Tribolium castaneum: one gene and its partner. The protein of the gene in region 2 interacts with the protein of the main gene of each other region in a pairwise test. Links are inferred from orthologs where the notes say so. Each region holds a gene or a part of one and is shown on either strand. Other genes may lie near its edges.

The links.
Region 1: the proteins of unc-104 (region 2) and Liprin-alpha interact in binary tests that used the Caenorhabditis elegans proteins (3 or more experiments, as listed by UniProt). The link is inferred for Tribolium castaneum from reciprocal best matches to the Caenorhabditis elegans genes unc-104 and syd-2.

Annotation. Positions count from the first base shown.
Region 1 is NC_087397.1:21,769,702-21,773,964, reverse strand, and holds the start of Liprin-alpha (liprin-alpha-1), read right to left. Parts: upstream 3,046-4,263; 5' UTR 2,759-3,045; coding exon 2,510-2,758; intron 1-2,509. Other genes in the region: fsd (transmembrane protein 183), read left to right, coding at 3,369-3,420. UniProt on the Caenorhabditis elegans protein: May play a role in regulating the structure of the neuronal region, called the active zone, from which synaptic vesicles send neurotransmitter signals across the synapse. This may be in association with the liprin-beta protein hlb-1.
Region 2 is NC_087399.1:8,193,184-8,197,016, forward strand, and holds part of unc-104 (kinesin-like protein unc-104), read right to left. Parts: coding exon 3,815-3,833; intron 3,757-3,814; coding exon 3,369-3,756; intron 3,293-3,368; coding exon 3,102-3,292; intron 284-3,101; coding exon 105-283; intron 40-104; coding exon 1-39. UniProt on the Caenorhabditis elegans protein: Motor protein involved in microtubule-associated anterograde transport. Regulates the transport of synaptic vesicle precursors in the axon of DA motor neurons. Regulates the polarized sorting of axonal proteins.

The DNA of each region.
Region 1 (4,263 bases), on a different chromosome or scaffold from region 2:
GCACGTTTTTTTTAAATACAGGGTTATTCATATTTGTGAGACAAAAAATGAACCTCAAAAAGGACCTATAAAATGATGCTAATTGAAATTATAAGTCGTGTCCTATCGAAGCTGATAAGAATTTTACAGCCCTGGGAAGTAAGGGTATGGAAAGACGTTTTTGCACCATAACTTTGGAATCATTTGACCAAATATTACAAAACTTGGTAGACTTACTAAAGAGAACATGCCTTTTATTCTAGTAATTATGAAAACCGGATACATCCACCCAGTTTCCGGTTGCACCAATTCCGGATCACATTTTTTGTATTTTTTTATGTTTTTGCCCTCTTAACACTACTTAACAATACAAAACGCAAAGCATTCAGTCAAAAATACCGCTGCTTTTATTACAAAATAATGCAAATTAGTAGTGAACTGAGTGTTGTTCATTTAGTGTCTGGAAGACAAGCGAGTAGTTGCACCCACTTAGTAGGGGTACGCTTTTAAGAGTTTTAATGTCTTTATTCGGAATTTGGTGTAATAAACGTACCGAATAGAACAAATAATTAGGTAACGACTAATGACTTTTTTGTGAATTTTCGATGAATTAATCAATCAAAAATGCTACCAAATTAGTTCAAATTTAATGTAGGTTATGTTAAGAGACTGAAATAAACTCCTTTTATTAAATATTTTTAATTTAGAGCCCCAAATTATCCAAAGTTAAAGTTGACAAGTGTGTGACAGTACTTGACAACGCTTTGAGTGCAGATGCACTTTCGTTGCTACAGATATTATCAGCTCAAAATTCATACTTTTTTGATTTTAGTCAGGTGCAAGCCTCTATTGAAATTAAAATAACTATTAAACGGTCCATTTTAACGGTGTAGAAGGTTATAACTTTTTTATTCGAAATTGATTACTCTATCGATTTAAGCAATAAAAAAGTAGTGTTAAGAGGGCAAAAACATAAAAAACACAAAAAATGTGGAAATGCTGCAACCGGAAACTGGGTGGATGTATCCGTTTTTCGTAACTACCAGATTAAAAGGCATTTTGTCTTTAGTAAGTCTACCAAGTTTCGTAATATTTGGTCAAATGGTTCTAAAGTTATGGTACAAAAACGTCTTTCCATACCCCTACTTCCCAGGGCTGTAAAATTCTTATCAGTTTCGATAGGACACGAGTTATAATCTCAATTGGCATCATTTAGAAGATCCTTTTTGAGTTTCATTTATTGTCTCATAAATATGAATAACCCTGTACAGGGAATGCCATTTAAAAAACTATGTTAAAGGTTGCACTGTAAAAATAAAACACCCTGTATAGAGCAAAACAATTTTAGAACGTGCACTTTGACTTCCCATATCTTTGACAGTGTAGGTACAATCGAGCACGCCCGCATCAATGACTCACCCTGTATATCTAAAAATAGAAAAATAATTTTCATAATACTTGTCTTTGTCGCACGCTTTGTTTAACTCTGTATAGGACAAAATAATTTTAGAAACTGCACTTTGGCCTCACATTTGCAGTGCCCTTTAATTTATTTCGAGATCATTAATGGTTTAGGTGTAAGTGTAGATGTAAGTGTAATCGAGATTGCCCATATCAATAACTCACCCTGTATATTCGTAACCCAAAAACGGCTAAATTTAGGCATAGAAAAAGTTAATAAAAACTCGCTTGGAATAAAACTCAACAAAAACAAATTTTCATCATCAAAACTACGGGTACTTATAAAGTGGACGGAACAGGCTGTAGATTCAAAGAAAAATTGTCCTTTTTCACAAATTTTAAAATGTCAATAAAAATTTAACAAAAAAAAAACAAATGAGCATTTAACAATTTTAACAATCCCATTTTTGTTTTATTTTAGCAGTTGTCTTTTAATTTCATGTTAATTAATACAAATCAATCGAAAAATGACTCAACAGGCGCTTCTAAAGCTGATTATCACTTCACTGTGAAAAAAATCAATTTACCATCCATCGAACAACAAGTCACAGTAACTTCTTTCATTCAGAAATAATAAAATTAAGTCGTTTTTTAACATGTAAGATGAAATGAATCGAGTTTAAGTTAGTATTGGCCAACGTGTTGTACCGAATGACTTTCATGTGATGTTAAAAGGTATGCACACATATGTAGATTTGTCCATTTGCCAACTTCCTCTTCCGGCAAGCACAACCATTCACTGATTGGTGTTTAATCATCAAAAATAATAATAATTTCTAATCTGACCAAGTGCACTTAAAGGGCAATGTGATGGTAACCAAGGTTACTGCGACTCTACGACTGCGTTAAGCGTGGCCGTCGAAAAGACCATTAAGGGCGGAGTTATAGATCCCATCGCAATCGTTAATTCATAGATGCATGGTAGGGTGGTCCAGTTTCCACAATCGCCCTACGATATGAATAAAAACCGGCAAGGAACCGTCTCATTTCTTTATGAAAATGGCGTTTGAGGAAGGCGCTTTGCCGGGAGGAATCGATAAAGCTCCAAATCGGTGGTGGGTGCTCTTACCTGTGGGAGATTGGCGGCGATCTGCCTATGGAGCGAGTCGCGTTCCTTCTCCACGTCCGCCAGCTTCATTTCCGTTTCGCCGAGACGCTCCTGAGTCTCCCTCAGACTGTCCATCAGCTTGTCCCTTTCGTCCAGCATCGAGACCATCAGTTGCTCGAAGTTCGCATCCTCGCCAGAGAACTGGGAGCTCCTCTGGCTGATGCTGTCCTCCGAGATGGTCGGCATTACATCACACATCATGTTCCACATGCTGGCTGTTTACTTTAACGCACTGCCCGCCGATTATTTTACTAAATACCCAATTACATGGATCGGTTCTAACCCCTCACCAAACGTCCACATTAACTAAACGGAACGCGCAAACCGACGCAAACCGAACACGTGCACATTGTCATATTGGTTATTACTACATGTGTTAACATTATCGGAACGTTTTCACTATGACACACCTACAAATTCCATCCCTTACGTCCTAACTACATACACAAACTTCGGATCTGACAGCCATTTTAAAACCAATGTCAAATAAGCCCATTCGAGTCGATACAACAGGACACTGTAACGCTACCGTCAGATGGCGCCACGCACAATTTACTAAAAAACTATTTCGAAAAAAAAACTAGAATTAAATACAAATCACAAAAATACAATTGAGAGCAATAGTGTTATTGCAAAAGTATTAAATCATAATTTGATTGTTGGGGCACCTGACAGTGACAGTTTTTTGACAACTCCGTTCAGTCCATCATGGCTGGTGATAGCGATGGTCTCGTTGGTCATTATTTGAGTATATTTTCAATTCCCGTTTTAACATGTACTTTATTCACGATTTGACAACAATTACATCCAAAACTGCACCATGTCCAAGCATAAAAAATCCGGAAAAAAGCATACTTCCAGCAATTTAGCAGGTAATTCCTTTTGTTTACAGTTACTGCTGCATTTTTCATGTTTCTTCAAATTACACAACATTTACACTCATTTACAACTGTTGTGTGTTGTTTAATCTCTGTAATTTATTGTTGAGTAGGAATTTCCATGAGTCGGTGAAATTTACTGTTTCCTTGCAATTTTAGAAAATCCAACAGACAAGGTCGCATACCTCATTGTTAAGTGATTTGACAACAGAAAAATACCGTCATTAATAATCTAATGCAGGTGTTGAGTAAAATGCCATGAATGCTATGACGTCTTTGTGGTAAATCCGCAAAAGACAAAATACCAGATTAGATAACAGTAAATAATACTGTAATGATAATACAATAGTATACAGGGTGTCTCAGCTAAAACTGCCCAGGTTAGTGTCGTGACTAAATAAGTCAGGTCAAGAATCCTCTGAAAATTAATGACATTAGGTATCTCGTGTAGTGTATAGTGTCAGTTGGATGCATTAAGACCGGAAAATTTAATTTTCATTAGATTGGAACAGATTTTGTTTGTCAATTTGGCAGCTGCCACATTCAAACAATTTTTGCTTTAATGGCACAGTGAAATGCACTGAATTAGGCTGGTAGGGTTTATTAATGTTATCTTAGGACACTGATGAAAACTACCAGTCCAGATAATTTTATAACTACGTTAAATTTGTCAAGGTTTGATTAATTGTCAGTTCTAACTTAACTATGTTCAAACTATGAAGAAATATAAAAACCATTTTCATGCTATGACATTTCCCGTTCTGTATTTGTTCAACACTTGTTTTGCCTTAAATTATTGTTAAAAATGAATTTTAGTAACATCTGTAGTAACATTAT
Region 2 (3,833 bases):
TCCTCGTTATAAACCAGACGCATCAATTCCAGTCTTTGACTGATGATTAGTGCAGAACGTGACACAGAATCATTCAAATTTACAATCATCCAACAAACACTCACCGAAGTTTATCCAACGACCAGTAATGAGTCGCCCCGTTTTTCGTATCTTGAACTTCAACAGCGACAATTGTTTTCGGCACTGACGCGTCCTCGTCTTGATCATAGTCGATGGTGGGACGCAAATCGGCCGGAAGGGGCGAGTAGAGGGTGTCGGTCAAAAGTGTGAATTGGAATTGTACCTAGGAGAATATATTGTGCAGTTCCGGTGCCAAATTGGCACTTTTTTAACTAGTTTTTAAGGAGTCAGAAGCTTATATTACAATCTTTTAAAGAATGTTTATTTTTTTGGCAAGTATTTTAAAAAAGTACAGTGGAACTCGGTTATAACGAACACAAATTAATTCTAAATCTTGGAATAGATCCATTAAGTATTAATCTAATTTACTAATAAAGACAGGATGATATTTTTTCTTGCCAATAAGGTTTTACAATTCTAAAATATATCGCATTACAAAAGACCGAAAAATTCAATCTTTGTAAAAATAAAATTAAGGATTGTTTTTCTCATACTAGGTCGGAAGTTTTTTAATTTAAAAAAAAAAATACTTCATCTGAGCTTATTATTATGGTGAGTACCTCTACCAAAAAAAAAAAATAAACAACTATTATCTGTTTCAAAACTTTCTTTTAATTAGTGCTTTTTTGACCATTTTGTCTGTAGTTTAATTAAAAGAGTGAATTTCAACAGGTACACCGAAATATGGAATCCGAATAAAACCCTTGGATAATCCAGAAACAATAAAAAACATTGATTACCATTTAAAAGTCTTGAATTTTTTTCGTATTATATCATTATAAATACTCAATGTGAGATTTAGAATCAGTTTTTTATTCGTTATATCATTTTAATTTTTTGTATTTTAAAATTTATTTCTTCAGTCAGTTATCTTCTAGTTGACTGTATTTTTTGTCTTCTTCTAATTTCTATCCCTCTGTTCTTTTTTCTAACTAGTTCTCAATGTTTCTATGTTTTTATGTATTCTCTTCTATTATGATTCGGTAAGTTTTAAGTGTTATACAAACGCAAATATGCCAAAAGTTCGACAAAAACAAAATTACCAATTCAACAGTTTTTAAAGACCGTAGTTAGCGTTCGCACACTGTGTTATCCGTTTGTACAAACATGTGCGGACGAATAATAAATTAACAGTCGCTATTAATTTGTCCGAACATTATTGTAGATAAATAACCGACAAAATATCTGTGAAATACATTATAATCATTATTAATATTATTTAAGTATACTTTCAAGTGATTATTTCTTGCCGATTATAAAAACTATAAAAATCTTTCAACTTCATTTGGTTTACTTAACATCTACTGGTAATTTTTGGGAAAAAATTAAATGCTGGGTAAAAATAATAACTGTTAGTAAAAAAAACATAAATGCAAAGTAAAAATTGTGAAAACAGTAAATACAACTAATAAAAAATATATAAAAAATTATAGATGTTTGAAAAACATTATTTTTGACTTTTTAGTGCATCTTTTAAAAAAAAGCTTAAAAAAACATTTTTTTATATATTTTTCATTTAGAAATTTTGCGTGTTAATTTCTTACAATAGATAGTATCATTTTAAAAGTATGTGGTGGTAAATAGCTATGTCTTGTTTATAGGGTTTTTCGTGGCTATAAAGTGTTTTTTGTTAGAAATAACAATTCGTTAAATTAAAAAAAATTGAAACCCCATTTAACCCCTTTAGGGGGTAATTAACAACATAGAAACAGATTACGTAAGTATGTGAAATTTCAATCCATTCAACTCAACTTGTAACCAGTGAGAATGTACGAGTAAGATAGCAGCAACTGTTAGATTGTCTTGAGCCTGACATTTAAAAAAATTGACATTTTGAAAAAAAATGTGATTTTATATTAACCGGTCAGATCGTAGAAAAAAATAGCGTATGTAACTCGCCTTTAAAAGCTAATAAGACACTTATCTTCGTTGCGACACTCGCTAAGGCTCGTTTCATAAAGTTGCTATTAACAAATGTTAAATTACTCAGTAATCAGTTCATTATAAACTAAAATTTGATTGTAATTAATAAATGATCTGTAAATTGACCCTAAATCTATTTGCCCAATTTTCTTTTTAAATTTTAGTTTTGTGGAAATATGGATCTATGAGAATTTCGATATTGTAATTTTTTTGTACGCCATAAAGTTTTACAACAGATAATGGTGTTAAGATAAGCACCTTCAGGATAAGATGTTTTGACAAGGTTAATGGTGTACAAAGAAAACGTTGCTACAAATTTGTTAATTTGCTATTAATATTTCATACGCTCTGGTTTAATATGTAAGCGTTCTAAACTTTCAAATTATAGTTAAATAAATAATTATTAAAATGTAACAGTTATGTAAATAATGTTAAGACAAATAAAGTTTTTCGAATTCGAAAAAATGTGTAGTTGGTTAAATTTGTTGATCGACATTTATATAACTGAAAAACAAAGCAAAGTTTCATTTTCAAAATATACTCACATTATTTATAGAAATTTCTCAGCATCACTATCAGAAACATCCCAAAATAAAAAATGAGGAAAACAGTATTGCCTTGCTATTTTTTAACGGCAGTACAGTGCATATAGGCAAAATTTTGAAAAGCTGTAAACATAAAAAATATGCACAAATGCGACTTAACATTGAATTTACTCATTTGTTGCTATACTATAGGAATTAAAACGGGATTGACTTTCAATTTTGCTCGTTATATCCGAAGCTCTACTATATTTTAAAAAATCGACAGACGAACAAAACACTAGATATCGGTGCCTTCATATTTATCGAAATAAATATTATTGATGTTTTTATCATCTCTTGTTTACACACAGAAATAAACAATGAAATAAATACATTAATGTGTAAGTCTGCGCTTACATTTTTTAAACATTTTTATCTATTTTTTAAGCTTATGGCGAAAGGTTGGAAGTGGCTAATGTCATCAATACTGATTATGCGTTTAAGGTTACAAGAATATAATAAATTTTCGCTTACTTTCTTCTTGAGTTCGACCGAAATGGCGTTCGCCTCCTTGAGGAAAATGGCATTGCCCCAGAGATCGTCCCTCAAGGAGGTAAACTGGTGATGTTTCCACTTCCTCCAGGCATTGGCGGCCAGCTCGTACTCCTTCTCGGTCCAATTGCACTCTGCGTCAAACAGAGGGTTCACTGCAAAAGCGCCCCCGTCTCAATTTCAAAGCAAGCAATAAACGTGCGCTTGATCGAAATTAAGCCACAGCAACAACTCCTGTGAAAAACTCACCGAAAATATCATCTTCATTATTGAAATCCTCGGGCGTATAGGAACTGTACATCGACATTGTCATGCTCTGTTCTTCCACTTGCTTTTGAAGCGCGTCAATTCGAGCCTCGTAATTTTTTCGCTGCTCTTCAAACAGTTGATCTGCGGTTTCTTTTTCCTTACGGTATTGTTCTTCGAGGGTTAGGAGACGTTTTTCCATCTCGGCCTTTAAGTCAACGCCTTGTTTTTCAAGAAGTTCAATTTGTGCATAGTTCCAGTCAACGGTTTCTAAAGGTGTCGAATTTTTTTCACGCATCTCACGCGCTTCGTCTGGATGCGTGAAGCGGAACACGTGGTTTTTGCCCAAAATGACTCGGGAGCCGGTTTTGAGGACGACTGGCTCGGTGATCTGCGACAAAATTAATTTAATAAGAATAATAACAATTTATTTATTATTTTTTTCTTACCTCCCGTCCATTGACATAA